Arabidopsis thaliana: one gene and its partners. The protein of the gene in region 2 interacts with the protein of the main gene of each other region in a pairwise test. Each region holds a gene or a part of one and is shown on either strand. Other genes may lie near its edges. The genes, in order: AT3G02880, AT3G26370, AT3G59740 and AT4G19645.

Region 1 (7,417 bases), 9.0 Mb from region 2:
AACTCAAAGTGTAGCTTCCGTTGTTCAGCAACATCACACAAGAAGCCATGCATGTTCTTTTGCCTCAAGTGTTGCAAAAAATGTCTTTGTGTTCCTCCTGGCACTTTCGGCAACAAACAAACTTGTCCATGTTACAACAACTGGAAGACTAAAGAAGGCCGTCCAAAATGTCCTTAAAACTTCTTTTTAGATATATTTGATAATATTCATCTAGTTTTGGATTATCAAACACTTACTACTCTGTTTTAATCTGTTTCTACAAGTTGGCGATTTGTCTCTACACTTTTTTTGTGTCTTTTGCTCTTAACTGTTGTGTTTGTTATACGTGTAAGCCCGCCCAATGTGTCATGGCCGAACTTATTATGGTTACATATTTATGAAATGGGCTTCATTATCAATTGATTTGAGCCTACAAAAATGTAGCCATAAAGCCCATTAAGTTGTAATTGTTAATATTTCAGTCATAAATATGATTTTCTATATCTATGATTTATCTCTAGTGTTGATGATGTTTGTATGTGGAAGTCATGTTCTATTTGCTTCCACGGTTTAAAAACCATCAACTTGCTAAGGTCAAATTCTAATATTACTGTGAAAAACATTATTTACGTGCGTAATTATATGAATTTATGAATAGGTTTTAATTCCATTTTTTCCTAATAGTGTTTTATGTCAAAGAGTATCCCACTAATAAATTTATTGAACCCCATGTGCATATGTACCCAGTCTGGTACGAGTTGGAACATGAGATAAAGTTGTGGCAACTGCCCATGACTCGGTGTAAATGGTATATCACATGAAAAATTATAAGTCCAGATCACAATATGTTTTCTTCAAATAATTCGAAAAATTATCTAATCGATTTCCCTTTAAGCTTGAACTAAATAGTTTATCAGCACTAGTAATTCTTTCATACAAAATCTCTAAGCAAATATATATCTTTCTGGGTCAATGTTGTTTTTTCATATCTAAAATGTTTTTTCTTTCTCCTGTGAAGTAGGGTTATTAGTTAGTGGTTACCAACTTCACATTATAAAACTTCATATCTAATCAAATCGTGAAGTATTTGTCAGTCAATCGTGAGACGATATTCATGACCACTTTTGTCGTTGACTTTGTTTTTGGCTCAAAATTTTGGACGGCGATAAAAAATAAAACTCGTTGACATTGTTTTTTGGCTGAATCGTTGACTAGGATTCTGGGATAAGATGTGTAAAGAAGAAAACAAAAACCAATTTATTCACACGCAATCAACTATATATTTATACAAAAATTAGCAAAAGCAATAGTTTTATAGACATTTTTAAAACTTTGGAAATAAAGAAAAGTAGAAAGAAAGAAAAAAAGAAACTGATAGGTCTCATCTCAATTTGAGGCTCAAGAATTAACGAACAAACTAGAACAAGAACAAAGAAGAAGAAGTAGAAAAAAGGCGGGAAGTGGGGTCGACACTATTCAAGAAATTGCAACTTGACCCCAAACAATATTCAAATCAATCAATTTAGACCCCCAAAAAATCAGTCGGATACAGGATTTGGGGAGCCAGATGAATGAGAAACCTCCTCAATGAGTCTGGTGACTTCAGCCATCGAAGGACGACTATCTGGGAACTGAGCCGTACAGCTCATACCGATCTTCAATAAACGAATGATGTTCTCATTGCCCTCAGGTTGGTACCTTGTGAGCTCGGGATCAAGCACATCGGACGGTGTTTGTTGCTCGGTAACAGATTGGACCCATCTCGGCAAATCTACGCCTTCTTCATTCAACTGCTGATGCGTTGGAGACTTACCTGCAATGTAATGTTCCATGTTAAAACCTAGAAACCACAGCAATTGCAAAAAAAGCAGTTAAAAAGATATATCTATCCTTGATTGTTTGTTACCTGTGAGTAATTCAAGGATTAGGACGCCAAAGCTATAGACATCAGCTTTTTGGGATATTTTGCGAGCATCAGTGATTTCAGGGGCACGGTAGCCATCAATACGGTTAGGTGCAGATGTAGAACTAATGATGGGAGCAAGACCGTAATCAGAGACCTTAGCTTCATAGGAGTCAGATAATAGTATGTTCGAGGACTTAATGTTTCCATGAGAAGTTGTCCCATCACGCGAATGTAGGTAGCTAATCGCTCTTGCAGCTCCTAAGGCTATACCGGCTCTGGTTTCCCAGTTCAACGGAGTTCTCCCGTTTCCTTTGTTCCCTACAAATCCATTAAAAGAGCTTCAAAACCGAGCTTGAAGACACATAAGATAAACTAACTATGAAACAATTCAGTAATCAGTGTCAATTTTAGCCAAACCAGGTCCATCAAGATCACAAACTAGCATCAGCTAAACTAAGAACCCTAAAAATAAACAAATGCACAAATGGAGATTACTATTCTATACCGTGCAATATCGCAGACAAGCTTCCTTTAGACATGTACTCAAAGACAAGAAGCTTCTCGTCACGGCTGAAATAGTAAGCGATCAGAGTCACGAGATTGGCATGACTCATTGATCCCAAAACATGCAATCTCTCTCTGAACTCTTTCTCAGGCACCACAACATCTCTTAACCGTTTCACAGCCACCACTAACCCATGCTCAAAGCTTGCCTTATACGACGACCCAACTGTTCCTTTCCCAAGAACCTCAGCTGAAGCCTTCAACAATCCATCCAAATCGAATTCCCCGAAAGATTTCACGAAAAAGGTCAAATCTTTATTCACCGCACCACTCTCCGACCCCGTAGCCTTAGCCGGCGGGACAACAACCACCGTTTCCTTTGGTATAGCAGCGGAGGAAGTCGCAGCAGCGACAGGAGCTTCAACATTCCTAGATGGAACGTTCTCTTCTTTCTTTCTCTTTCTACAGAGACAGAACAGAATCAAAAGAAGCAGTAACAGACCAACAACACATCCGATCACAATCCCGACAATAGCTCCGGCGGATAACTTGTCGCTATCTTTCTTCTCCGGCGGCGTATTGGGTCCTCCAGCGTCACCACCATTGGGGCTCTCTGCCTCACAAGTGTCTAAAGGCTTCCCACAGAGAGTGTTACCTTCAAAAGCAGTTCGAGGCCAAGACGACAACGAACTCGGAATAGACCCGTTTAACTGATTAGAAGAAACATTGAATTGCTGAAGAGGAAGCGTGATCTCAGGGATCGGACCAGAGAGTTGATTCCTCTCCAAATACAGAGTAACCAACCGGGTCGCAGAATTGACATTATCCGGGATCCGACCCGAGAATTTATTCTCCCCTAGATTGATTCTGATTATGCTCGGAAGCGTGAAGAGAAGCGACGGAATCTCACCGGAAAAGGCATTACCTTGAAGATACAAGTAACGGAGGAGAACAAGGTTGGAGAAATCCGAAGGGATAGGACCAGAGAGAGAATTGAACCGGAGAGAAAGAGTCTTAAGCTGGGTTAGATTACCAATACCACCGATTGGTAAAGAACCGAATAAACCAGATCCGGGTAATCGGAGAGCCGTGACCCGACCCGCATCGCAGTGGACTCCGTGCCAATTACAAGGAGAAGAAGCACTCATGTTCCATAGCAAAGGACGGCCACGGACACTGTTACGAACAGCGAGTAAAGCTCTCCGGTCAGACTCTAGATCTGAAGTCACCGCAGCGAGATAGAAGACAAAGAGGAAGACAACAGAGAGACTTAGCTTACGCTTATACTTCATCTTCTTCTTCTTCTTCAAAAACCGTGTAAATTCTTCGTCTCCTTGGTTCCAAAAATTCAATAAATATATCGACTTTTTCGGATATGGGTTTTTGGAAAATTTATTTCGGCTACGCGTAAACGAGTGTTTGAACAAAGAGACTTTTGTGTTTTTTGGTTTACAAGAGTTTCAGCTCTGTCTTTCTTCTCTCTCTAGAGCCGGCTAAGAGAGAGAAAATGGTCATAATTGCAGAGAAAAAGGAAAAAAAGAAAAGTTACTAATTGGAATATTTCCTTTTTGACAAAAAAGTTAAAAGAGAATCTTATGTATTTAATTTGACAGCTAATTTACAGAAAGATAATTAATTAATTATAAGGTTATGACTTATGAATACTAGTTGTAACAATTTTATCAGAGTCAACTATATTTGCGTTACATAAATGACAATAAATCACTGCAGTAATGTTTTTTGTAGACGTTTAAACGACCTCTGTTTTTCCTTTCTTTTGTATTAGATCAATAAATTAGGTCTAATTAAAAAATTAATGGTCGTTATCGTTTTGTTTCTTTTATGTTTTTTTTTTTTGCAGGTTGAGTGTGACCAAAGACATGCCAGGTCTGTCAAATGTGTCTGAGCTACCGTTGACAAACAAAGATTAGCCTCTCCGACACCGTTTTTATTTCTGATATAAGTTTGTACCATAGACATTTTTTTTTTTTTTTTATGTATTTGTTGTATCAATTTGAAAGGAAGGTAATAGAAATGGTCAACAGAGAACTTAAGAAGTGGTATTCATTTTGAAGATTTCAATTGTTCAATTTTTAAAACTCTTACATCAAATTTATTTTAATAGAAGTGGTTGGTTTCTCGTGACTATTAACAAACATTCTTCCCAACCCGAAACCTAACCTCACCTAACTTTCAAGTTCAAATACAAATAGATGATGACTAATATAAGCTGATTTTCTCCCAACACCTTCTATAATTCACTCTTAACCTCTTCTTCATGGCTATGACCATGTTCGTCCAAATAAGAAACGGCCATAGCTGCGTGAAGAGCAGCCCCAACAGGAAGAGCTTCTTCATCAACAAAGAAGTAAGGCGAGTGAAGCGGCTTACCAGCGCCTAGCGTCTCATTCTTTACCCCCAGCACGAAAATCGCAGCCTTAGTCTTTTGAGTGAAGAAGCTGAAATCCTCTCCTCCCATTGTCACCGGGAAATCATGGAAGTTATTCTTTCCAATCATCGCTTCCGCTACTTTTTTACCGTGCTCGTATAAGCCCTCGTCGTTATTCATTACCGGGTGAAGCGACGGCTTTTTCTCTTCGAAGTTTACTTCTGCTTTGCATCGGTATACCGATGCTTGTGCCTCTGAAATCTGCATCATCATCAAGAAACATTTAAACAGGGTTAGGGACCTACATTATTCGAATAGTAGAACAAGATTGTATAGAAAAATGGTGTAAAAAACAATCTCTTTACCTCTTTGATCCGTCTTTGGATAAATAGAAGCCCATCGTTGCTTAAGCTTCTGAAAGTACCTCCAAATTTCGCACTCTGCGGTATTACGTTTTGAGCATGACCTCCTTCAATATATCCAACTGTAACCACCTGAGAAACATAAAAAAACCAATCTCCGCTGATTTCAGCCAAGATTCTGATTCATCAAACACCAATGCTTTGAAAGTGGAAAGCAAACTTACACCAGCTTCGAGTGGATCCAGTTCCCGCGAAACAATCTGTTGCAAGGCAACAACAGCGGAAGAAGCTGCAAGAACCGGGTCTTTAGAGAAGTGCGGTGTAGCTGCGTGGCTACCTTGACCGTGAACCGTGACTGTAAACAATCCTGCACCTGCAAGAACGGTCCCAGGCCTAGAACCAATACCACCTGATGGGATCGATGGAAAGACATGAACACTGAGTATCCCATCTAAGTCGTCTAGAATCTCGTCTTTTAGCATTTCATAAGCACCTGCATAACCTTCCTCGCCTGGTTGAAACACAAGTTTTACTGTCCCCTGTTGCAAAAAAATTGTGTTTTCGTTCAAAACCCTCATAAGATTCACCAAACTCTCATAAGACACACACACTAACAACTCTAGAAAACACACACACATAACAATTAGCAATCAAAGACATACACACACATATATCTAAGAATCTTAGAAAACACTAACCCACATCGAAATGAGTTTTAATTGCAGGGCACAGACAGAATCATTCAAAATTATACATATAAATTGAGTGAAAGAGAAAAAAGAGAGACCTTGATGAGGTGTTTTGTGGTTTGAAGAAGCTTAGCAGCACCAAGAAGCATAGCAACATGAGTATCATGACCACAAGCATGCATCTTTCCATCTACTTTACTTTTCGATTCCCATTCCACTAATTCCTTTTTTTGTCCCCATTTTTTCAAATTCATTAGTCAAACAAAGCAATCTAAAAATCAGAGTAAAAATCGGAACTTTGATTATTAGATTTCAAACCTGTAACGGAAGTGCGTCCATGTCGGCTCTAAGTCCGAAAACAGGTTTCGAACAGGATCCGATCCAAGCGACGACGCCAGTCTTCGCCACAGGATACTTATACTTCACTCCAAGCGAGTCAAGCTCGTCTCGAACGAGTTGACTCGTTTTGAACTCCTGAAACCCTGTCTCTGGGTTCTCATGAATCTTTCTCCTAATTCCTCTCATCCACTCGAAGAACTCAGGATCCTTGGCTGAATGAAGCATCCCGCGAGCGAGTGACTCGAGACCCGAACCAGAATCGTAGCTCCCAGCTGAAGACAGAGGAGGGAGAAAGAAGAAGGTAACGAAGATGACAAAGAAGCTCCCTGAGAAATCCATTCTGATTTCTTTTGTTTGTCGATGTAAACTGGCAAGTGTCAATGAAAGAAAGGACAACGGTGAATACGATGATGATGAAGGAGAAGGAGTTGGATCACCGATCCATTTTTAATATTTATATAGTACGTAATTTACACACGTTTTTGGAAACTCTTTTAATCGTTTTTAAATACGTATACGCCTCTAATGTGAAATTCATAATTTATGGTTGTAATGTGAAGAAAATAATGAAATACCAAAGATAAAATATGAAAATGATACAATGTAGTATATTTACGGTATAAAAGGAATATTTACTTGAAATGAATTAGTACGTTTAATACACGATTTTACCATTTATGTTAATGAAAATTAACACTTTTAAAATAAAACATGGCATGAATTAGAGTTGTGAGAATCACATGTAGGCCTTTAAGGTTCTTAAATTTTTAATTCCTTATAACATAGGCCCATGTATTTGATTGACATATAGGCCATTGGGTTCTTCGACTTTTAAATTACTTATAACAAAGGCCCACCTATTTGAAGCGCATTGTTAAACATTTTGTTTATATTTTGATTATGATCGAAAATTCTCTAGAACAATTCGTACAAAAGAAGCTGTTTACGAAAGTAGCTGTACATGCGAACATAATCAATAAAAATGTAAATGACTAATGAAACATCAGAATATCCGTACAAAATTGTGACTTTATATTATTTAGTTATAGGTACAAAGTTGTGGAGAGTAAAAAAATAAAAAAGGTAAAAAGTTGTGGAATAGACCTATGAAACAATCACAAACATACAACCAAAATGCAAATTGTAATTACGCAACAGAGGCTTTCTTTTCAAGGAAGTCAAGTGTAAGATTTGCAAATGCCCCAATTATTATTTGAGAGAAAAAGGGATATTGCTAATCACAATTAAC
Region 2 (7,747 bases):
AATCTGACGCTGCAGCTCCCGGCTCTGCGTTGCCTGAAGCTGGACCTGACTGCTCACAAGATGAACATTCGCAAACATTGACGTTTTCTTAGGAACCTTGAAAGGTTCAATGTATTGAGTTGCTATGAGTGTGTTGTAATAGTAAAGCTCGAATGTCACATAGCTAAACTCCACACTACTTTTCTTGCTTGGGTTTGTGACGTTTGCTAAAATGGTTAGATCACCGTTTAGAAGAAAACCCATGTCGAGATAAGCAGCGTTTAGGTTAGCAGCTGAGATGTCGACGTAAGGTGAGCGAGGACGGTAGACGAGGTAAACGATTAGGATGATAAGACCGCCGAGAATAAGAATGACCCAGAATATTGCACAGCAAAATGCAGCTGACCATGTCATTGCGTTTGTCTCTCTTGAGGGTGGTGGTAACCGTGGGCCACGGCGGTGATGCGGGGATGGTGTTGGAGCGGTTCTCCATGGACTTGGTTTGGGTATTGGAGGTAATGTTGATCCATAACCCCCTCCGTTGCGTTGTGGTGCTTGTGGTGGTGGAGGTCGTTGTTGTTGATTATCTTCAGGGCTTAATAGCAATGGTCTTTTCGATGAGTTTTGAGTTTTTCGTGGTGGAAGTCTCTCCTCTGGGCTTAATGGTACAGGTATTACAGAATGTTTCGGTTCTTGGATTGGATTTTCACGGTGGCGACCACGAGTCTTGATTAGGATTCCTGGTGGAGCTACTGGGTGAGGTTGCGTGGTTTTGTGGTGCGATTTTTTTGGGTGCGGAATGGGCGGGATGTGTGGTTGGTTCGAAGATGTTTGTGAGGTAGAAGCACCACCGCTTTTGAGATGTGGATTCTGCGATGGAATTCGCGCAAAATGAGGGTTAGTTTCATGGTGATGATGATGAGACATTTAGATGAAGAAGCTAAAAAGCATCAAAGGAAACTAAGTTAAGTAAGACTTGAGATGAAAGAATGAGAACAGAGAGATTTTGAACTGTTTTAAGTTTCTAAATGAGATAGAGAGAGGGAGAGAATAACTTGGTGACAAGTTCAAGTAAGGATTCTTTGTTGTAGAAAACAAAATAAAGAAGGAAAGTGATAGCACGAAGCAAGTAATCTTTGTTGTAGATTCCTTGCACTAAAATTAAAATCAGTTTCTAATCTCATGAAAAAGTATAAAAACATTCTCTGTATCTTTTTCTCATTCAAAAGTTTTTTTAAGAAAATTGTAATTACTCGGTCCAATTTATCTAAAACCCAAATAAAAAGATCTCGATTTTAGGAGAGACAGGGTTAAGGACTTACAGTAACAGTCATGAATATGTCAATCTTTCTACTTCAGCTCACTCCAGGGGAAAGATGTTGATTCTCAGAGCAACTTACGAAAACTTGTCGAATATGTCAGTAAACTATGAACATGTTAAGATATGTCTCCCATAGATCAAGAAGGCCGCAGATTAGTTAGCGCAAATCTGATGCGAAACACGTTGCTTCTGCAGGTAGATACTCTGTTCTCTGCTCAATTTCTGCAGCATCAAACATGAAACCAACTCTGCAATGCCGGTTACTGCAAACGTTGACAAAGACAACTACCAATCGAGCCTGACCAAACAGATACTAGTAAAAAAGCTGGAAGCAAACTGAAAACTAAACCCATACAAAAGGTATTTTCCACGATCTTCGGTGCAATTGTTCTTCCTATATCTCTTATCCCCATTCTTTGGCATGGCATGGTATATAGTAACATGAATATACATAAAATGAAAGTGTAAACGCCTGGAAAGAGCTAACCTACGCTTTACACGCGAAGAAAGCAGAACAATCTCAGAGTAATCATGGCCGGAACAAGAAACACAATTCAAGCACAGAGACCCACAGAACACAGTCATACAGAGTGCAGGAGAAGCAACGCACTTGCCCTGAAACAACTTTCAATACATGTACTCCTAAGATCTGATGTTCTTTCTCAAGATCATTGAAAACTTACGAAAGAGAAGCCATAGAGTAAACAACTAATCAAATCCAAAATTCCAATTCCACATTGATTCAACTCATCAAAAGTTCAAAATGTAAAACTGTGTTATATCACACACAGATACTAGTACTGATCAACATAGCAGCACTCTTGCTTCACCTCAGCTCTCATAAACCTCTGCAAAGAATAACAATAAGAAATACGCAAGATCTTACTAAACTAAACAACACCATTAAAACCCTAAAAAATGTGAAGCTTTTGAGAAAAATCAGAAAACATTACCTGACTTTCTTGATGAGGATTGATTGGAGTTTTCGAGCAAAGTCAATGGATTTGATTCTGCGTTCAAGATTCTTCCTAGCGAGAACCTTCTTCTCCGAATTCTTAATGTGATGAGTCTGAGTCCCTTTGATCAGCCTCTCCATTCCACTCGATTGCATCTTCTTCTGCAAAATCGTCAGTGCCTTGTCTAAATCATTGGAGAACACCTTCACTCTTATCCCTCGCTCTTGCTGCAACTGCTGGTTTAGACTCGGACGAGTCACCAACCCCGTAACTCGCTTCGCTATCGTGTTCATCTCTTTTACTTGTTTTCTGAAAAAGTATGTTTCTGAAAACGTAAATGAGATTGACGAGAGACAGTGATAGGATCTGAATTCGACTTACCGGTCGGAATCTCGCCGGAGAGAATCAAAGAGCCAATTTGAGTGATGATGGAGAATGTCTAGGTTAAAAAAGAGGCGATGGAGGAAATGAGATAAAAACCAGAGAATTTACTAATATAGGGGTGGTTATGTAAGTTTTATGAGATATAGGGATGTTTTTGTAAATATCCTTAAATCTAATCTTCTGTTTGATTCAGAGAGTATTGACTTTAAAGAAGAACATTCAAGCCTTTCAAAAAAAAAAAGCTTCTTTAATTTCTCTCTCTCTCTGTGGAGTGTTCGAATCTCCAAGCTCTCTCTCAAATGGCAGCGTCCACATAGTAGAGCTGAAGAAGCACTGTATCTATCTACAGAGAAAGTGAAGAGGAAGAAAAGGAAGAGAGGATATAGAAATTAAGCTGGCGACTTTTAGTCCGAGGCGAGCAATGGCAGAGTTACGGCACTCGAGCTCTCTCGGTAGCCGATCTTCTTCTTCTCCGTTACGTGCCGCCGGAGATGAGGATTCTTCATCGCCTCATGTACACGATCACTCTCCTAACGGCGGAGACGACGAAGATGGTCGCCCACGTCATCCTTCTAGAGATCGAGACCGTCCGATCTGGTTTCACTCTTTGTTTCCTTTCTTCGGTGATGATCCTAGGGTTTCTCCTCAGAAGAATAAAATCTCGCTTCTATTGATTTTGATTCTCGCTATTGCTAGCTTGATCTCAGTTTATGGGATTATTAATCACTTGGTAAGTCTCTTCCTTCGATCTAGGAATTGAGATCTTCAAGGCTCTATGTTCTAACTGTGGAATCGATTTGGAAAAGTATTTAGCTTTGTTTTGAGTAAAGGGGTTTGTTTATTTAGGTGGATTTGGATTGACATTGTTCTCAGACTAAGATTGCTTCTATGTCTATCTTCTGCAGAATGCTCCTTATTTATGTAAAAAAGATGGGATTGTGCTAAACTGTCCTCATGTAAGTGTTTGAAAACTTTGGTTATGTGTTTTGTTGAATGCATAAGCTTTGAATCCTGTAAATTTAATTGTGTGTTGGTTTGCATTTGTAAGGTAAAAGAGTCACCTTCTCCTTGGGAGAATCCTTTATCTGCAACAACTTCTTGGAAGCCTTGTGCTGAGCGGCGGATTGGTGGAATCTCAGGTATTGAAGGGCTAGAGCATTGTCATTTTCATTGTCATGTGTTATTTTTTTTTTTTATTTTTTTTTTTTCGTCGAAACACATTGTCATGTGTTATTGATCTGTCTTTTCGTGAAAGTTCAAGTCTTTTTCCTTGGTTAGCTTATTAGATTGTGTCAACTGTTTTTTTCAGATCTTCCTCCTGAGAATGAAACAAATGGCTATGTATTCATTCATGCTGAAGGTGGTTTGAATCAGCAGCGAATTGCTGTATGTATCTTCCAACTTTTATCTCTTTTTCTTCTCGCCATTATCCAATCATGGATCAATGTCTAAATGGCTGTTGTTCTTCTTGCCATCGTCCAATCTTGAATTCATGCCCTTTTGTTTCCAGATCTGCAACGCAGTAGCTGTTGCCAAGATTATGAATGCAACACTGATTCTACCAGTACTGAAGCAGGACCAAATATGGAAAGACACAACGTAAAATCATATTCAGATATTGATTTCATTTCATCTTGAATTACTTCTCTATTTTCTTTTTGGTTTACTGAGCTTGTTAACTTTCTTTTGCAGAAAATTTGAAGACATTTTTGATGTAGATCATTTCATTGATTACTTGAAGGATGATGTCCGAATTGTTCGAGACATACCTGACTGGTTCACTGACAAAGCAGAGCTATTCTCTAGTATAAGGTTTGCTTGTCAACTCATTATTTGTTGATGATGTACTTGTTGGACGATTTCAAAAGTTAGCTTGTGGAATTATGGCGTCACTGGGTGCTCCTTGTGTATATCTCTGATTTAAAAATCGATCTGTATTTTTTAATCAGATATGATGTTGACCAAGTTATTTATTTATCTTCTGCAGAAGAACAGTCAAAAACATTCCCAAATATGCAGCAGCCCAATTTTATATTGACAATGTTTTACCTCGGATAAAGGAGAAGAAGATAATGGCCTTGAAGCCTTTTGTCGATCGACTTGGGTATAACCAATATTCCTATAGTTTAGTGCTCAGATTTTGGAAATCGTCTTATAAACAATGAATGATTTATTCTTGTGATGCTGGAAATTTTTTCAGGTATGACAATGTACCTCAAGAAATCAACAGATTACGATGCCGTGTAAATTATCATGCTCTCAAATTTCTTCCAGAGATAGAGCAGATGGCTGATTCACTTGTTTCTAGAATGAGAAATCGCACTGGAAATCCAAATCCATATATGTATGCCATATCAGAGATTCGACTTTGTTATAACTTAGGACCATATGCATTATATCAACTTAAAACTATACCCATGTCTCTTGTATAGGGCTCTTCATCTTAGATTCGAGAAAGGAATGGTTGGTCTATCGTTCTGTGATTTTGTGGGGACAAGGGAAGAGAAAGTTAAAATGGCAGAATACAGACAAAAGGAATGGCCTCGGCGTTTCAAGGTGACATTTATAAGCAGTTGTCAACTTCTTTTGGTGGCTAAACAACCTCAACCGCTACCTTAATGAAATTTCTTGACATATATTGCAGAATGGTTCCCATCTCTGGCAGCTCGCCTTGCAGAAGCGCAAAGAAGGTCGATGCCCTCTTGAGCCAGGAGAAGTTGCTGTGATCCTACGTGCAATGGGCTATCCAAAAGAAACACAAATCTATGTTGCATCTGGTCAAGTCTATGGCGGTCAAAACCGTATGGCTCCACTAAGAAACATGTTCCCAAATTTGGTAAGCACAACACCGGACTCTTATAATTCTTTGATGAATCAGCACAAACTTGTCTCTCACATTAACTGTCCTTTGAATCAGGTAACAAAGGAGGATTTAGCAGGCAAAGAGGAACTAACAACGTTTAGAAAACACGTTACAAGTCTTGCGGCTCTAGATTTCTTGGTGTGCTTGAAATCAGATGTATTTGTGATGACACACGGTGGAAACTTTGCAAAACTGATCATCGGAGCGCGTAGATATATGGGGCATCGCCAGAAATCAATCAAACCGGATAAAGGGTTGATGTCGAAATCATTTGGGGATCCTTACATGGGATGGGCAACTTTTGTGGAAGATGTAGTTGTAACCCATCAAACACGAACCGGTTTACCTGAAGAAACTTTCCCTAACTATGATCTTTGGGAAAATCCTCTCACTCCATGCATGTGTAAAGCTTGATGATGATGCTTTTGTTTGGTCTTGGATTTTGTCTGATGAGGAGCAACAAACTATAGAGATTCGTAGTTTTCTTCTTCTTCTTCTTCTTTTTTGACCTTTCAAATCTTTGAAGTCTTCATTTACCATCTTTGTAATCATTTTGATATTATGTAAAGTTCCTAGTGATGAAAAAAAAGTTTCTTTTTTATATTAAATTTGATCAAATTGATGCACTAAACTTTAATTAAAAGAAAATTAGCTCAACGGTTACTAATCCAATTCTTAATTTTTTGTCACGCTCTCTAATAGTACCCGCCATTAACACAACCATTGCGTGTTGTCTTCTCTCTTACTCTCAGGTTCTCAACAACAAAAGAGGAAAACAAAATCAGAAGCTATCGTAATCAGTTCTCATCTCTATGACCGGACTATCCGTAGAGAAAACCGGGTCGACCCGGTCCACTGTCTTCTTCATCATCTTTAATCTATCCATTTTTAGGTACTCCGCTTCACTGGGTTTTTGAATTTGATTTTGGTTTTTGAGTGGGTGGTGTTTGAGTGATCGATCAATCACAAAAGTTTCGTCTTTTTCAGTTTATCGATTGAAGCAAGGTCGAGGCAACAACATGCTAGCTTTCCTCCAAGAGGATGGAATTCGTACGATTCCTTTTGTTGGACTATCTCTGAAGCTGAGTTCTTGCAGAGTGCTGAAATTGTTTCTAAGCGTCTTCTTCCTCATGGTTATCAGGTAATTGTGAGTTTCTTTATCCTTTAGAATGTAAAAGTTTAGGTTTTTAATTGCTTGTGTTTGTGTGTGTTGATTTGGATACAGTATGTTGTGGTGGATTACCTTTGGTATAGAAAGAAAGTTGAAGGAGCTTATGTGGATTCTCTTGGGTTTGATGTGATTGATGAATGGGGAAGATTGCATCCTGATCCAGGTAGATGGCCATCTTCTAGAGGCGGTAAAGGTTTCACTGAAGTTGCTGAGAAAGTTCATAGAATGGGTTTGAAGTTTGGGATTCATGTTATGGGAGGAATCAGCACACAAGCTTATAACGCAAATAGTCTCGTTATGGATAGTGTTAAGGTATTGAGTTGATTGATTCTTTCTGAGTTTATGAAGTTTGTTTGGAAGTTATCAACAAGTGAATCTTTTAATGGTTGAAGGGAGGTGCTTATGAAGAATCAGGTAGACAGTGGCGAGCGAAAGATATTGGGATCAAGGAGAGGGCTTGTGTTTGGATGTCGCATGGGTTCATGAGTGTGAATACCAAGTTAGGTGCAGGAAAAGCATTCTTGAGGTCTCTTTATCGTCAATATGCAGAATGGGGCGTTGATTTCAGTAAGAGAATCGACTTCATTTCCGTAACCTTCTTTAACTTTATTCGATATATGATTATCTCAATCTTGTCTCACTTTCTTGGTCTTTAGTAAAACATGACTGCGTATTTGGCACTGACTTCAATATAGAGGAGATAACTTATGTGTCAGAGGTACATATTTGTGATAACTACCAATCTTCTGGTTAAAGTCAGAGGTACATAGAGATGAAACATTGTTCTTATTTGTCGCAGGTTCTAAAGGAGCTTGATCGGCCTGTTTTGTACTCCATATCTCCAGGGACGAGTGTGACACCTACAATGGCTAAAGAAGTTAGCCAATTGGTTAACATGTATAGAATAACGGGTGATGATTGGGACACATGGAAAGATGTCACGGCACATTTTGATATCTCGAGGTCAGGTTTCAAGCTGAAAAATACTCTTGCCAAGTTTTTACCTTTCTTTGATGTCATATAATTTTCATTCTTCCAGAGATTTATCTGCTTCTAGTATGATTGGTGCACGA
Region 3 (6,912 bases), about 12 Mb from region 2:
CTTAATTGCTTTACGACTTGGTTTAGGCCCCATGTGTGTGTAAATACATAAATTTTTAATATGAACAACGCGGAAATCCATGTGAACGTTCGTTTCCATTTTGTTCGACCCTACTTTTGCAGTTTGGAATTCTTTTATACTCTTACTTAACTCTCAATGAGATGATAAAAATATCTCATATGATCAATTTCTTCCCATAAGCAAAAACAAAAAAAATCCTAACATGCCTAGTGAACTCAAAGTCTTGCATATAGTTCTTGTTCTGCTCTATACTCTGTCTTCATCTACTTACAACTCCAATGGAAACTGGACCCTGGAGGGCTCTGCAGCTGACAACTCCATTGGTGACACCATTTTAACGAACACCAAGAAGCATTCCTGCGGTCAAACTTTCAACAACGAATCCATTCCCATAAAAGATTCGTCTTTCAGCTTCCACTTCCTCTTTGGAATAGTACCTGAGCATACACAGTCCGGTTCACATGGCATGTCTTTCGTTATCTCTCCTACAGCAGGCCTTCCAGGAGCTTCCTCCGATCAGTACCTCGGATTATTCAATGAAACAACCAACGGTAAATCATCAAACCACGTTATAGCTATCGAGTTAGATATACAAAAAGACCAAGAGTTCGGAGATATTGATGATAATCATGTTGCAATGGTTTGACATCTGTTGTTTCTGCTTCTGCTGGTTACTATGATGATAAAGATGGAATCTTCAGAAATCTTTCTTTGATCAGCGGAAAGGTAATGCGGCTTTCTATCGTTTATAGTCATCCTGATCAACAGCTCAATGTTACTTTATTCCCGGCTGAGATCCCTGTTCCGCCACGGAAACCACTGCTGTCTTTGAATCGAGATCTCTCCCCGTATTTTTTGGAGGAGATGTATTATGGCTACACGGCATCGACTGGATCCATTGGAGCATTTCATTATATGTTGAGTTCGTACGCTACTCCAAAAGTTGAGAATCCAACATGGGAGTTCATCGTAGTCCCAACCCTTCCTCCATATCCGAAGAAATCGTCTGACAGAACAAAGAAGATTTTAGCGGTCTGCTTAACGCTTGCTGTGTTCGCTGTGTTTGTCGCCTCGGGAATCTGTTTTGTCTTCTATACGAGGCATAAGAAGGTTAAGGAGGTTCTTGAGGAATGGGAGATTCAATATGGACCTCATAGGTTTGCCTATAAGGAGCTTCTCAATGCCACAAAGGATTTCAAGGAGAAACAACTTCTTGGAAAAGGAGGCTTTGGTCAAGTCTTTAAAGGAACGCTCCCGGGTTCCAATGCAGAGATCGCTGTAAAACGGACTTCTCATGATTCAAGACAAGGCATGAGCGAGTTTCTAGCCGAGATATCGACCATTGGTCGTCTCAGGCATCCAAATCTAGTCAGGCTTCTGGGATATTGTAGGCATAAGGAGAATCTCTACTTGGTTTATGACTTTACGCCCAATGGAAGCCTTGACAAGTATCTAGACCGTAATGAGAATCAAGAACGGCTCACTTGGGAACAACGTTTCAAGATCATCAAAGATGTTGCATCTGCTCTACTACACCTGCATCAAGAATGGGTACAAATCATCATTCATAGAGATATCAAACCAGCTAATGTCCTAATCGACCACGAAATGAATGCAAGGATCGGGGATTTCGGATTGGCAAAGCTGTATGATCAGGGACTTGACCCTCAGACATCTAGAGTAGCGGGAACATTTGGTTATATCGCACCTGAGCTCCTAAGAACAGGAAGAGCGACCACAAGCACTGATGTTTATGCCTTTGGGTTGGTAATGCTTGAAGTTGTTTGTGGTAGAAGAATGATTGAGCGACGTGCACCGGAAAATGAAGAAGTTCTTGTGGATTGGATCTTAGAGCTTTGGGAAAGTGGGAAACTTTTCGATGCAGCTGAGGAAAGTATCCGTCAAGAACAAAACAGGGGAGAAATCGAGCTTCTTTTGAAGCTAGGTCTGTTGTGTGCACATCACACTGAACTGATTAGACCGAACATGAGTGCGGTTATGCAGATCTTGAATGGCGTTTCGCAGCTTCCAGATAATCTTCTTGATGTCGTAAGAGCTGAGAACTTGAGAGGAATGCCTGAAACATCAATCGAAGTACTACTTGGTCTTAATCTGTATTCAGTTGGTACAATGACATTAACAAATTCTTTCTTGTCCCATGGACGCTGAAACCGTTAAAGAAGTTAGTTTGAATGAACAGTTACATTCAAGCTTTTGTATCGTCTATTTGATGAATCACTACATTAGGGTTTCTTTATCTTGAATCAGTAAAGCCTTCCGTTTCATCCCCAAGTTCTTATATCTTAAATTTTTAGGACTCAACATATAATATGTTTTGTATTTTCTGCTTTCAAAGTTTTCTTGTTGGATTTGTTTAAGAAACCGAACTTTCAAGAGCAATGGCGTCAAAACAAAATGGCGTGAATTGCCAAATCAGTGACATATAACCAAAAACATTCTAAACTACTTTGATGTTGTTACACTACATAGGATTAATCTCAATATATAATGATCAAACCATGACAAATTAGTGACATATAACTTCACTTTTGCCTTCAGACCAGTAGAGAATTTGTTAGAATCTACACTAAATTAAAAATGTTAAACATACGTTGTTTTTTCTACAAAATGGTTGTGGAAAAATAGCTTTGTTGGATTGCTGCTTTTTAATTATGCTTTTCACACTGTTGTTATTAGTAATTTAATACTTCAAAGTATTAAGATCGTAGAAAAGTTCTGTCTTTTGACGACACGCTCTACCAGTCCCACTATAATTGCTTTACGACTTGATCTAGCTCATGTGCTTAAATACATATGTTTTTTTATTACTAACGAAGAATAACAAAAATAAAAAGAAAAAAAGAACGTTGGGTTCCCATTATTTTCGACCGTAATTCTTATGAGATGATAAATATTACATTAAGATCATAACCTTCCCATAAGCCAAAAAATAACAAACAAGAACATGTCTCATAAAGTCTTACAAATAGTTCTCGTTCTGTTGCTTACTCTGTTTTCATCTACTCACAACTCCAATGGCAACTTCCTCATGGAAGAAGCTGCAGCTGCAGGTTTAAACGGTTATTGCCTTTTAACAAACACCACGAAGCATTCCTACGGTCAAGCTTTCAACAACACTCCCGTTCCCATCAAGAACTCATCTTTCTCATTCAACATCATCTTCGGGATCGTCCCTGAACATAAGCAGCAAGGTTCACACGGTATGGCTTTCGTTTTCTCTCCTACAAGAGGCCTTCCCGGAGCTTCCCCCGATCAATACCTGGGAATCTTTAACGAGACAAACAACGGTAAAGCCTCGAATAACGTTATAGCTATCGAGTTAGATATACGAAAAGACGAAGAGTTTGGAGATATTGATGATAATCATGTTGGGATTAACATTAATGGTTTGACATCTGTTGCCTCTGCTTCTGCTGGTTACTATGATGATGAAGATGGAAACTTCAAAAAGCTTTCTTTGATCAGCACAAAGGTAATGAGGCTTTCCATCGTTTATAGTCACACCGATAAACAGCTCAATGTTACTTTATTACCTGCTGAAATCTCTGTTCCGCCACAAAAATCGCTCTTGTCTTTGAACCGAGATCTCTCGCCCTATTTTTTGGAGGAGACGTACTTGGGTTTCACGGCATCGACCGGGTCGATCGGAGCACTCTATTATGTGATGCAATTTTCCTATGAAGAAGGAGTTATATATCCAGCATGGGACCTTGGCGTAATCCCAACCCTTCCTCCATATCCAAAGAAGTCGTATGATAGAACACGGAGGATTTTAGCGGTCTGCTTAACGTTGGCCGTGTTCACTGCATTAGTCGCTTCCGGAATAGGTTTTGTCTTTTATGTGAGGCATAAGAAGGTTAAGGAGGTTCTTGAAGAATGGGAGATTCAGAATGGACCTCATAGGTTTTCTTATAAGGAGCTTTTCAATGCCACAAAGGGTTTCAAAGAGAAACAACTTCTTGGGAAAGGAGGCTTTGGTCAAGTCTACAAAGGAATGCTTCCGGGTTCCGATGCAGAGATCGCTGTAAAACGGACTTCTCATGATTCAAGACAAGGGATGAGCGAATTTCTAGCCGAGATATCGACCATTGGTCGTCTCAGACATCCAAATCTAGTCAGGCTTTTGGGATATTGTAAGCATAAAGAGAATCTCTACTTAGTTTATGACTTTATGCCTAATGGAAGCCTTGACAGGTGTCTAACCCGTAGCAACACGAATGAAAATCAAGAACGGCTTACTTGGGAACAACGTTTCAAGATCATCAAAGACGTTGCAACTGCTCTACTACACCTGCATCAAGAATGGGTACAAGTCATCGTTCATCGAGATATAAAACCGGCTAATGTTCTACTCGACCACGGCATGAATGCGAGGCTCGGGGATTTCGGATTGGCGAAGCTGTATGATCAGGGATTTGATCCTCAGACATCTAGAGTAGCGGGAACATTAGGTTATATTGCACCTGAGCTCTTAAGAACAGGAAGAGCAACCACAAGCACAGATGTTTACGCCTTTGGGTTGGTTATGCTTGAAGTCGTTTGTGGTAGAAGATTGATTGAGAGACGTGCAGCAGAAAATGAAGCGGTTCTTGTTGATTGGATTTTAGAGCTTTGGGAAAGTGGGAAACTTTTCGATGCAGCTGAGGAAAGTATTCGTCAAGAACAAAACAGAGGAGAAATTGAGCTTGTTTTGAAGCTAGGTCTGTTGTGTGCACATCACACTGAATTGATTAGACCGAACATGAGTGCGGTTTTGCAGATCTTGAATGGCGTTTCGCATCTTCCCAATAATCTTCTTGATGTTGTTAGGGCTGAGAGATTGAGAGGAATTCCTGAGACATCAATGGAAGTACTACTTGGTCTTGATCTGAATTCTTTTGGTACAATGACGTTGACGAATTCTTTTGTGTCCCATGGACGCTGAAACCATAAAAATAAGTTAGTTTTGATCAAACATTTATATTCCATCGGGAGCTTCTGTATCCGTCTATTTGATAAATGAGTACATGTTTCTGTATCTTTGAATCATGAATGCCTTCCAATTCATCCCTAAATTTCTAGGGTTTACTTTTAGGGTTATAATATGTTTGTTTCATTCTTGCTTTCAAAGTAATCTTGTTCGAATTTGTTTATAAAACCAAATTTTCAAGAGCAATGACTTATAACTTAATTAACTTTTTTTTTTCTGTAGACCAATACAAAATCTGTTAAACTTTACATTAAAACATGTCAAAAAACTTATTTTTTTTACATTTTATGGTCAACACGTTGGTTGTTAAACTTACATTGTTTATCCATTTCTACGCTCCGTAATGTTCGACGGATTAGGTTGTAGAAAAGATAAGAGAAGCTTTTTTGACCTTTTTATTTCTTTGGTAGAGATCTGAGAAGAAAAGTTTTTTTGATTATTGCTTATTATGCTTTCCACTATAATCGCTATTTAATCTTAGCAAGAATTAGAAGATTTGTTTTCTTATAATTGATTTACGACTTTATCTTGGCCATGCACAGTGCGTAATTACTAAATAGTGTACATGTGTTTTTTCTCTCTTAAGTTTGCTTACTTATCTTAGTTCGTTGGCCGCATATAACATGAATATTCATTAGATAAATAATTAACAGCAATAGGTAAACAGCAACAATAACAATAGTTTAAGTCCTAAGACTAATCAACACATTAATGGAACGATAAGAAGAGATTCAAGAGAATAATTAACAATAATGTTTTGTAAAAAGAAGAAAAAAAATACAAAAAGCAAATAGGATGTCATAATCTCATAACCAATATAGCAAAATTTCAGTAGTAAAATAGGTTTGCAAACCTAACATGGGTCCGCTTCTACACTCTGACAATCCCACAATAATTGCTATTATTAATTGAAAAATGATCAGAAGATTATTTGTTTATTGTGTTGCGGTTTGATCATCTAGGCCATGTGGGTAATTAAATACAAACTACATATGTTTATGACATGACCAGTTTCGTTCACATTATATTGGCTTGATCATATTCATACAGTTTTACTTATTTTTATGTTGTATCTTCTTACATAATTCTTCTGATAAATATCACATTACGATCAAAACCTTCCCATAAGCCAAAAAAAAAAAACGAACAAGAACATGTTTAGTGAAGTCAAAGTCTTACAAATAGTTCTTGTTCAGTGGCTTACTCTGTTTTCATTTACTTACAACTCCCATGGCACATATATCCTGGATGGATCTGCAGTTTTCAACGAAAATAGTTACTTGGTTTTAACGAACACCACGAAGCATTCCTACGGTCAAGCTTTTGACAACACAACATTTGAAATGAAGGACCAGTCTTTCTCCATCAACTTCTTCTTCGCTATTGTCCCTGAGCATAAGCAGCAAGGCTCTCACGGTATGACTTTCGCTTTTTCTCCTACAAGAGGCCTTCCCGGAGCTTCCTCCGATCAGTACCTCGGATTATTCAACAAAACAAACAACGGTAAAACTTCGAATCACGTGATAGCTATAGAGTTAGATATACATAAAGACGAAGAGTTTGAAGATATTGATGATAACCATGTTGGGATTAACATTAATGGCTTGAGATCTGTTGCCTCTGCTTCTGCTGGTTACTATGATGATAATGATGGAAGTTTCAAAAATCTTTCTTTGATCAGCGGAAAGTTAATGCGGCTTTCGATCGTTTATAGTCATCCGGATACAAAGCTCGATGTTACCTTATGCCCTGCTGAGTTTCTTGTTCCGCCACGCAAACCACTTTTGTCATTAAACCGAGATCTCTCGCAGTATGTTTTGAAACACATGCATATTGGCTTCACAGCATCTACGGGATCCATTAGAGCGCTCCATTATATGGTGCTGGTGTACACATATCCT
Region 4 (7,664 bases), on a different chromosome or scaffold from region 2:
AGAAAACAGTGGAGATCCCATTTTGGTATTCAGGTTTATTACATGGTTTAGGTTTGATTTTGTATTAAAGGAGATGGATTTTTGAAATGTATAAAGCAAAACCTTTCCTTTTTGCTTTGCTTCTTTCTTTAGTCAGAAAATTGTAATATATGGAAGTGAAATCGAAGCAACGATTGAGCAGAACGAGAAGCACAAGAAAAATGTTAAGCTAGTTAAAAGATTTTCAAGCTTCTTGCAAGAGAATTACTAAACAGGCACTTTCTCAGGGGAAAGATCCTCGTGTTGAATTAATCTCAATACCAAAATCTAAGCCTGCTTCTGATAGCAAAACAGGAACTAGAGAATAGAGATAGTTCCTTTGAAAAGATTGAAGATCCCATTTTGGCTTTAGGTTCAATTTGTATTACAAGGGATTTTGATTTTTAAAATGTGTAAAGGAAAAATATGATGCTCTGAATCCAAATCATTTAGAACATATTGCTTGCTTATTTGGTCAGAAAATTCTACTACTTGGATTTATGTCTTCAATTGTTACAAAAATATTTGCTTTCCTTTAGACCTGAACTGAAGCAGTCAATTACATAACACAAGCTAACTATTACTAAAGAGTATATGAATCACATGAGAGATCTTTCAGTAACCTGTAACAGACTCTGGACAAATCATCAGTACTGTCTCCTTCGAATGTTATGCGTGTCCATCTGTTTGTTTACAGGACAGATGTTGCAGGACAGATGTTGTAGGACGGCTAAGGAGGAATATTCCAACAAACAATTTGCAGATCTTCTCAGTACTATCTAAAGAATATTTCCAATGAATTCACGCAACATTTTAGATCTGCATCAAATCTGTAACTCAGCACATACTTCATTTGCTCTTTCACAAGCATCGGCTAACACTAATGGATCTCTCTGTTCCGGAATTCTCCAAACTCTTCCTTTTGATTCATTAGGTGGCATTGATATCAAAAACCCTTCACTGTCTCAGTTGTACTAAATTCAAGAAATAGTGCCAATAACCTTAACTTCAGGTAGATGATTGGTTTATACTTTCCCAAATGGCTGGACCTTCAGGGTGGACATTGACAAAATACTTCACAAACCGGGCATCACCGCAAGTGAGAATAGTGCTTGGTGACAGCATTGGCTTTGCTGCATCTCTTTCCCTCAACCATAAATACATTGAGAATCTGTGATGTATCCTCTGCATATCATAACACAGATATGCCGGGAACCTTACCAATGATTCAATTGGATAGCCAAGAAGTTCGGTTAAGGAATGTATCTTTTTCTCTATGACATCTTTAGACAGGTTAAGTATCATCGGAGCATGCCTGATGATCTCAGTAACCACATTATAGTTTAAACCGGCTTTCACAAGGCAATCAAATCTCTCCTGTAGCTGATCTCCCCTCCCTCGAAACTGTTTTAGAGCCTTCACCATCTCATCCGAGTTTTCTACATACCCTAGCCTCAACAAAAACTCTGTCTTCTCTAAGTATTTCCTCGAGTCTTCCGAAAGAGGTTTGCTTTTTCTCTTCTTCGTTGTAGAAACAAAACAAAACAATCTCAAAGGCTCTTTCTTTAAGATCTTACATAGCTCGTCTTGTTTAACATTCAAACTAAGACAAGCAGTTCTAGGTGCTGGCAGAGAGCATGAACCAATAAGCTCCATATGACTCAGCAAAATCTTCGTGATAAACTGCGTTTCCATTCTAATAGCAATCAAGAAATCCAACGTCTTCTGAATATTTTTCACGCATTTGTCTGACAACATCTCTGGATTGTCTATAAATAGCCTATAAATCTCATTCACTTGAAGCCCCGCTTTAAACAACCTACCAAACAGAACATAGAATTTCTTTCCGGAGCCTTCGATTACCAAAGCTGGATACGTTTTCAAAAGACTACTCAACTTCTCCTCTTTACATCCCACTTTATCAAGAAACTCTATTGTCTCCAGAATTCTGCGCCAGCTATATGTTTTCCGGTCAGACAAGTACCGCCCAAGCCAATCACATCCTACTTGTAACCCTTTCAACTTATCAACTACAGAAGAAAACTCAGCATCAATCCCACCAACCAGTAGCAAAGGGCAACTAGTAACTAACTTAATAACTGTAGCCTTACTAAGACCCAAATTCTCATAACCCCTTAGCTTCATCGCCAACATCCCAGATTCATATCTAAAAATCTCTCTCGCTTCTTTATACATACGGCCAATCTTACCACGCGGGATCCCATAGTTGCAAAGAGCATGAAAGTTCTCAAACATGATACCATCATCACTCAAAAACATTAGCTTCCGTGGAAGAAACGTTTCAAACTCATAAGGACACAAACCCAAACTCTCGAAAAACGGTTCAAACTCGTTTATCGGATTGTACCTAAGGAACTTAGTCAATCCCTTGGATACATCTTTCTGATTATCATCAATCTTAGACAACAAAGTCGACATAAAACAAGGAGAATTCTTACTTATATGCTCTGCATCAGTAAAAGTAAAGCTTCTAGTATAATGCAAGTAATCAAAAAGAGCTTCTTGAGCTTGATTCCTACTAGCCCTTGATACCGGATTAACGAAAAACCTAGTTGGTAAGTGAGACGAGTGTTGTTGTAACTTAGATTTATCCTGACGAACACAGCTTTCAATCTGAAAACTCCGAAATGGAACTGAAACACGAGAAAGGTCGAACCTTTGAACTGGGTTTTGACGAGGAATAGATGAGAAAGTTATACAGTAGTTGAGATTTGAAATCATATTCAACAGTTTATGAACTCTTCTCTGATTTCTGGATAATAACATCGCAACCTAACAACAAAGAGAAACAGGTGAAAGTCACAATCAAATAGAGAGCTATGAAGAATTCTCAATGCTTACTCTTTCAAGTAAGAAATTTACCTGAAATTAGGGCTTATTAAGCATTTGAATCAACCATTTTCCCAAGATTCTTAGGGTTCATAGCCAAATCTCAGTTACTTTGCTTAAACCTTGTTCTGGCTTCAAATTAAGGTGGAAATTTCAGAGAAGCCCCTAAACGTTTATAATATATCCGAAACGACCATAATCTTATTTTTCTATACTTCAATATGTGCCTAAGAGTTTCCGAAATATCATAAAGGTACCAATTAGTGCATCATCAACACTTGGCCTTAAAAGACTTGACGTGAGATATTATTATTCCTCTTTTGATACCGAATTAATAGACTTGTCAAGTTTAGACTTGTCAAAAGTGATAAACATATCACACGAAATCGTGTTATTATCACGAGCGTTACAAATTCTTCAAGTATATCACTATAAAACGACTTCAAAACCCAACCAAGTGGTGATTTCTTTGAGCTGACTATATGTATGCAAGATAAAGGCAGCAAGAAACGGTGAGTTTTCTTCACGAGCATAAATGGTTTGTTCGTCTTTCTGATTTTTGATTTTATAGATATGTAACTTTTTTATTAGGTCAATTTCAAGTGGTCCATGGTAGATTCAATTCATGTTAGGTCATCATCTTCAAGCTAAAACGCCTACCAAACATATAATAACAAGTATTCTTTTAATCACTAGTTTTAGTTTCAAAATATTTCTGACTATCTTAAGTGCATTTAGATTTTAGTTCAACATGATGGAAAAAGATAACTTGACTCTTGTTTAACTTGCATATGTTTTGTTTGACTATTTGTTATGTTTGAGAGGAATGATTTTTCTTTGTAAAACAGCTTTATATAAAACTTGTGGCTTACTCGGATGAATTTTATATTTGTTTTGATTATTTTTCAAATGTTGTTTTTTTCAAAACCTTTTGACAGTAAATTACAATATAAATTATTTTCAAAGATCTTAATATGTCTTATTTAAGTGAATTTTTAATTATAATTATAAGTAAATTATTAAATATAGATTATAACAATGAAGTTAAATCTTATTCACTATATCTTTAAATATTTTTTTCTCTTATTTTTTTAATATTTTATTCACTATTTGTAACAAAATTATAAAAGCCAAAATTACCAAATTTCTGCAAGAAAAAACAAAAAACAAATCCTTGGCTCCTCCTAAAATCCACCTACCTTACCCTTTTATATATAAGATACAACCAAAAACAAGATGATTTGGTGCTTTCAATATAAAAGATATAATATTTCATAATTAACATATTCTCCCTTAGGTTTTCCTGCACACTCGATTTAAATCGTCTAACAAGGTCAGAATCCATAATTTATACAACCATTTTCTGCTTCCTTTGTTTCCTCCCTAATTACATGTTATTAACTATTAAGCATATCCTTAAAACAAAACCCAAACTGAATTATCTTTGTCAATAGTTGTCTTCTCTCTCGATTATTCTTAAGATAACTACTTTGGTAGTTTTGTTTTTTTAATTACTACTGCACCCTCTTGCGCTTCAAGTTACTTGGTAAAAAACTCTCTTAACTTTGGATAATTTCTCGAAGTCTCTGAAGAAAGAACCCTTTTTTTCTTCTCTCATAATCGTCTCTGTAACGTCCTTCTCCTTCTTCATCTTCTTTGCGTTTCTTCTGCAGCCTTTTGCGGTTCACGTGTTGATTGCTTCTGTCTCTACTTTTTGTCCGTTTTAAAGTTTAAACTTATTGTTACAAAATTGGATTTTCTCTGATCAAACGATAAAAACAGAGTCTTTTAGTATCTTCTTCTTGGGTATAACGAAGATTTTTGTGGTTTCTTCTGATGTAATTCACAAAACCATTTGTATAATCCTTGAAAAGACTTTTTGTTCAGAAATGAAGTTTCTTACTTTGCTCTTTCTTTTCTATATTTCAGTAATGATGATGATAAAGCTTGAGAGAAGTGATTAGTCTGTAGAAGAAGAAGAGTTAAAACCATTCACCAAAGAAGAAATTGAGAACTAGAGACAGTCATGGAGATCAAATCTTACCAAAATCAAGCAGAGTATTTTGTTGAACACTATTTATTAGCAGATCCATTTCTTCCATATACTTCTGTTCTTGTTGGAATCTGTCTTTGCAAATTGGTAAGTTTTGCTTCTCTTCACTTACAATTGCAGAAACTTCACTTTTTTCTGCATTCTGTTTTTAAACAGTGTAGCTTATGTTCTTAGGTATATGATCTTACGGAGTTATTCAGCTCAATTCATGTCAAATCATACTCAGCTCTCACAAAAATAAAGAGAATTGAATGGAACAACAGGTATGTATAGGTTCCTTGTTTCAGCCTTTATATGTTATGCTCTAGTCTCTTATCACTTTGGCTTGACAGGGGAATTTCTACAGTCCATGCGATCTTTATCTCATTCATGGCATTATACTTTGCGTTCTTCTCTGATTTGTTTTCTGACCAAAGAAGCCTTGAAACCCTTACGGTGTTTCGTAACTCGCCTCTGTCTACCTTTGGTTTAGGAGTAAGTTTTGATCTTTCTTCATTTTATCTCACAAGTCCTACTCATGAGCATTGATCAACTTATATGGTACTTTGTTGTGATGTGTTTTTTGCATAGGTATCAGTTGGTTACTTTCTTGCGGATCTTGGAATGATCTTTTGGTTATACCCTTCTTTAGGAGGATCAGAATATGTAAGTTAGACACATGAAAGCTTATGTGGTCTTCAATTACTTGACAATCTTGTGTTTTTTGTTTCAGATATTACATCACTGCTTATCTGGAACAGCAGTAGCGTATTCTTTGTTCTCTGGAGAGGCTCAGCTTTACACATACATGGTTTTAATCTCTGAAGTGACTACACCAGAGATCAATCTTAGATGGTACCTTGACATTGCTGGTTTGAAACGATCTAAAGCTTATCTTGTTAATGGAGTTGCTATATTCTTTGCTTGGTTGGTGAGTTTCTTAAAACCTTTGTTTTTCGTTGTAAATGTCTGAAAACTTGATCTCCTTTTTTATAGCAATGATGTTTTGTTTGCAGACAGCAAGAATTCTTCTGTTCATCTACATGTTTTACCATGTCTACACACATTATGATCAGGTAATCAAGATTTCGGTTTGATTATCTCTAAACCAAACGGTCTAGCCTTTAGGAAAAATAGGAATTACTCTGTTTTTTTTTTTTTTTTGCTGTTGTATTGGTTAGGTTTAGAGATAATGAATTGATGATCAATGGATTTTTCGGCAGGTGATAGAGATGCATACATTCGGTTATCTACTGGTATTTGTTGTACCGATTTCATTGAGTGTCATGAACTTGATCTGGTTTGGTAAGATAGTGAAGGGATTGAAGAAAACTCTTGAGAAAAGACAGTGAAGAAAGAGTTGTGTTTTTTTTTTTATGTAAATATAAAACTCTTATGAAGAATCTTACAAGTTTATAAGCAACAAAGATATGGTTTGTTTCTAACTTTTAGCTTATACACTAATTATGTTCAAAATCTCATTCCCATTATTCCCACAACAGTCCCTATGCATGCTGAATACTTAAATCCATGTACGAAATCAATAGAGGACTTAACCCAAAAAGACTTGGGCCTAAATCTACATTGGGCCAACGATTATATTCGTAGTTTTTTCGTGTCATATTAACTTGCCGTGTAATATTTGTTTACTTGTATTTTTTGTTAGTTCTAGAAAGAAAGCAACATTAATTGAGGAGGAGGAGATTGGTTGTTGTTGACGACGCGTTTCCGCTCACTAATTTTTTTTAACCTTTTTGTGTCTCCGTCGTCTTTTGATCTTCAATCTCAGTTTTGAGCTGAAGATTATCGTATCGACCTGCGATTCTCTTCAGATCGATAATCCATGGCTGCAGCTGGAAACAAGAGCATTAACGCCAAATTGGTCAGTCTTATTAGCTCGATTCTTTTGAGTTCCCTTGTGGTTGGTTTGTCTCTCTCCGATGATCGTAAAATTGATTGAATTTGCAGACCCGTTTTGTTAGATTTTCAGTTTTCTGGATTTGATTCTGTTTCTAATTTGGAGAATTTTGATACGTGATGTTGAATTGGAGAGCTTTGATCAGATTTTGTTGTTAGGGTTTATGTTCGATTTTGATTTAGGTTTTTCCATAATAGGGTTTTAGGGATTTATCTGAACACGGTGCTTGCAAACAGTGTTGATTTGGTTTCTGTTTTTTTTTTTTGCTTATTTTGATTTGTTTCTGTGTACTTGGTTAAGTCTTTCAGGTGTTGCTTGGAGATGTTGGTGCTGGAAAATCAAGTCTTGTGTTACGGTTTGTCAAAGATCAGTTTGTTGAATTCCAGGTTAATGGCTCTTCTATTGATGTTTATGTTGTTGTTCACATTCTGTGTGTGCTTCTTGACTTTGATATATGTTTATGTTATAGGAATCAACCATTGGTGCTGCTTTTTTCTCACAAACGTTAGCTGTGAACGATGCCACTGTGAAGTTTGAGATTTGGGATACAGCGGGTCAGGAACGGTACCATAGTTTGGCTCCAATGTACTACAGAGGTGCTGCTGCTGCAATCATTGTTTTTGATGTTACGAATCAGGTACATAATAAATTAAGTAGATGCAAATGCAATTTAGTGGCATTCTATTAAATTAAGTTTGTTTGATTTTCTTGCTATCTTCTTAGGCTTCGTTTGAGAGGGCAAAGAAATGGGTTCAGGAACTGCAGGCACAAGGTATTGTATAGCTGAGTTCTGGATTTGATAGTTCTTTGTTAGTTTATGACTTCCAGTTGCAGGCACCGTCAAGC

The links.
Region 1: the proteins of AT3G26370 (region 2) and AT3G02880 interact in a protein complementation assay, tested with the Arabidopsis thaliana proteins (one large-scale study listed by BioGRID).
Region 3: the proteins of AT3G26370 (region 2) and AT3G59740 interact in a protein complementation assay, tested with the Arabidopsis thaliana proteins (one large-scale study listed by BioGRID).
Region 4: the proteins of AT3G26370 (region 2) and AT4G19645 interact in a protein complementation assay, tested with the Arabidopsis thaliana proteins (one large-scale study listed by BioGRID).

Annotation. Positions count from the first base shown.
Region 1 is NC_003074.8:631,083-638,499, reverse strand, and holds AT3G02880 (Leucine-rich repeat protein kinase family protein), read right to left. Parts: upstream 4,036-7,417; 5' UTR 3,682-4,035; coding exon 2,391-3,681; intron 2,204-2,390; coding exon 1,886-2,203; intron 1,793-1,885; coding exon 1,518-1,792; 3' UTR 1,216-1,517; downstream 1-1,215. Other genes in the region: GASA5 (GAST1 protein homolog 5), read left to right, coding at 1-177; ILR1 (Peptidase M20/M25/M40 family protein), read right to left, coding at 4,641-5,039, 5,144-5,272, 5,365-5,679, 5,928-6,053, 6,148-6,507.
Region 2 is NC_003074.8:9,653,825-9,661,571, forward strand, and holds AT3G26370 (O-fucosyltransferase family protein), read left to right. Parts: upstream 1-2,855; 5' UTR 2,856-3,061; coding exon 3,062-3,370; intron 3,371-3,545; coding exon 3,546-3,596; intron 3,597-3,688; coding exon 3,689-3,779; intron 3,780-3,949; coding exon 3,950-4,026; intron 4,027-4,150; coding exon 4,151-4,239; intron 4,240-4,332; coding exon 4,333-4,452; intron 4,453-4,627; coding exon 4,628-4,744; intron 4,745-4,840; coding exon 4,841-4,984; intron 4,985-5,072; coding exon 5,073-5,196; coding exon of another isoform or gene 5,197-5,259; exon of another isoform or gene 5,260-5,284; coding exon 5,285-5,476; intron 5,477-5,557; coding exon 5,558-5,917; 3' UTR 5,918-6,121; downstream 6,122-7,747. Other genes in the region: AT3G26350 (proline-rich receptor-like kinase), read right to left, coding at 1-906; AT3G26360 (Ribosomal protein S21 family protein), read right to left, coding at 2,139-2,148, 2,254-2,549; AT3G26380 (Melibiase family protein), read left to right, coding at 6,316-6,395, 6,491-6,644, 6,729-6,986, 7,067-7,241, 7,331-7,392, 7,474-7,637, 7,714-7,747. UniProt on the Arabidopsis thaliana protein: Glycosyltransferase involved in the biosynthesis of pectic type-II arabinogalactans.
Region 3 is NC_003074.8:22,065,133-22,072,044, reverse strand, and holds AT3G59740 (Concanavalin A-like lectin protein kinase family protein), read left to right. Parts: upstream 1-2,986; coding exon 2,987-4,966; 3' UTR 4,967-5,058; downstream 5,059-6,912. Other genes in the region: AT3G59750 (Concanavalin A-like lectin protein kinase family protein), read left to right, coding at 224-661, 748-2,190; AT3G59730 (Concanavalin A-like lectin protein kinase family protein), read left to right, coding at 6,166-6,912.
Region 4 is NC_003075.7:10,688,529-10,696,192, reverse strand, and holds AT4G19645 (TRAM, LAG1 and CLN8 (TLC) lipid-sensing domain containing protein), read left to right. Parts: upstream 1-3,361; 5' UTR 3,362-3,380; intron 3,381-4,171; exon of another isoform or gene 4,172-4,201; intron 4,202-4,230; exon of another isoform or gene 4,231-4,432; coding exon of another isoform or gene 4,433-4,519; exon of another isoform or gene 4,520-4,706; intron 4,707-4,797; 5' UTR 4,798-4,894; coding exon 4,895-5,008; intron 5,009-5,095; coding exon 5,096-5,184; intron 5,185-5,253; coding exon 5,254-5,395; intron 5,396-5,491; coding exon 5,492-5,566; intron 5,567-5,633; coding exon 5,634-5,831; intron 5,832-5,916; coding exon 5,917-5,976; intron 5,977-6,123; coding exon 6,124-6,252; 3' UTR 6,253-6,435; downstream 6,436-7,664. Other genes in the region: AT4G19650 (Mitochondrial transcription termination factor family protein), read right to left, coding at 1,027-2,805; ARA7 (Ras-related small GTP-binding family protein), read left to right, coding at 6,744-6,782, 7,127-7,204, 7,288-7,455, 7,542-7,590.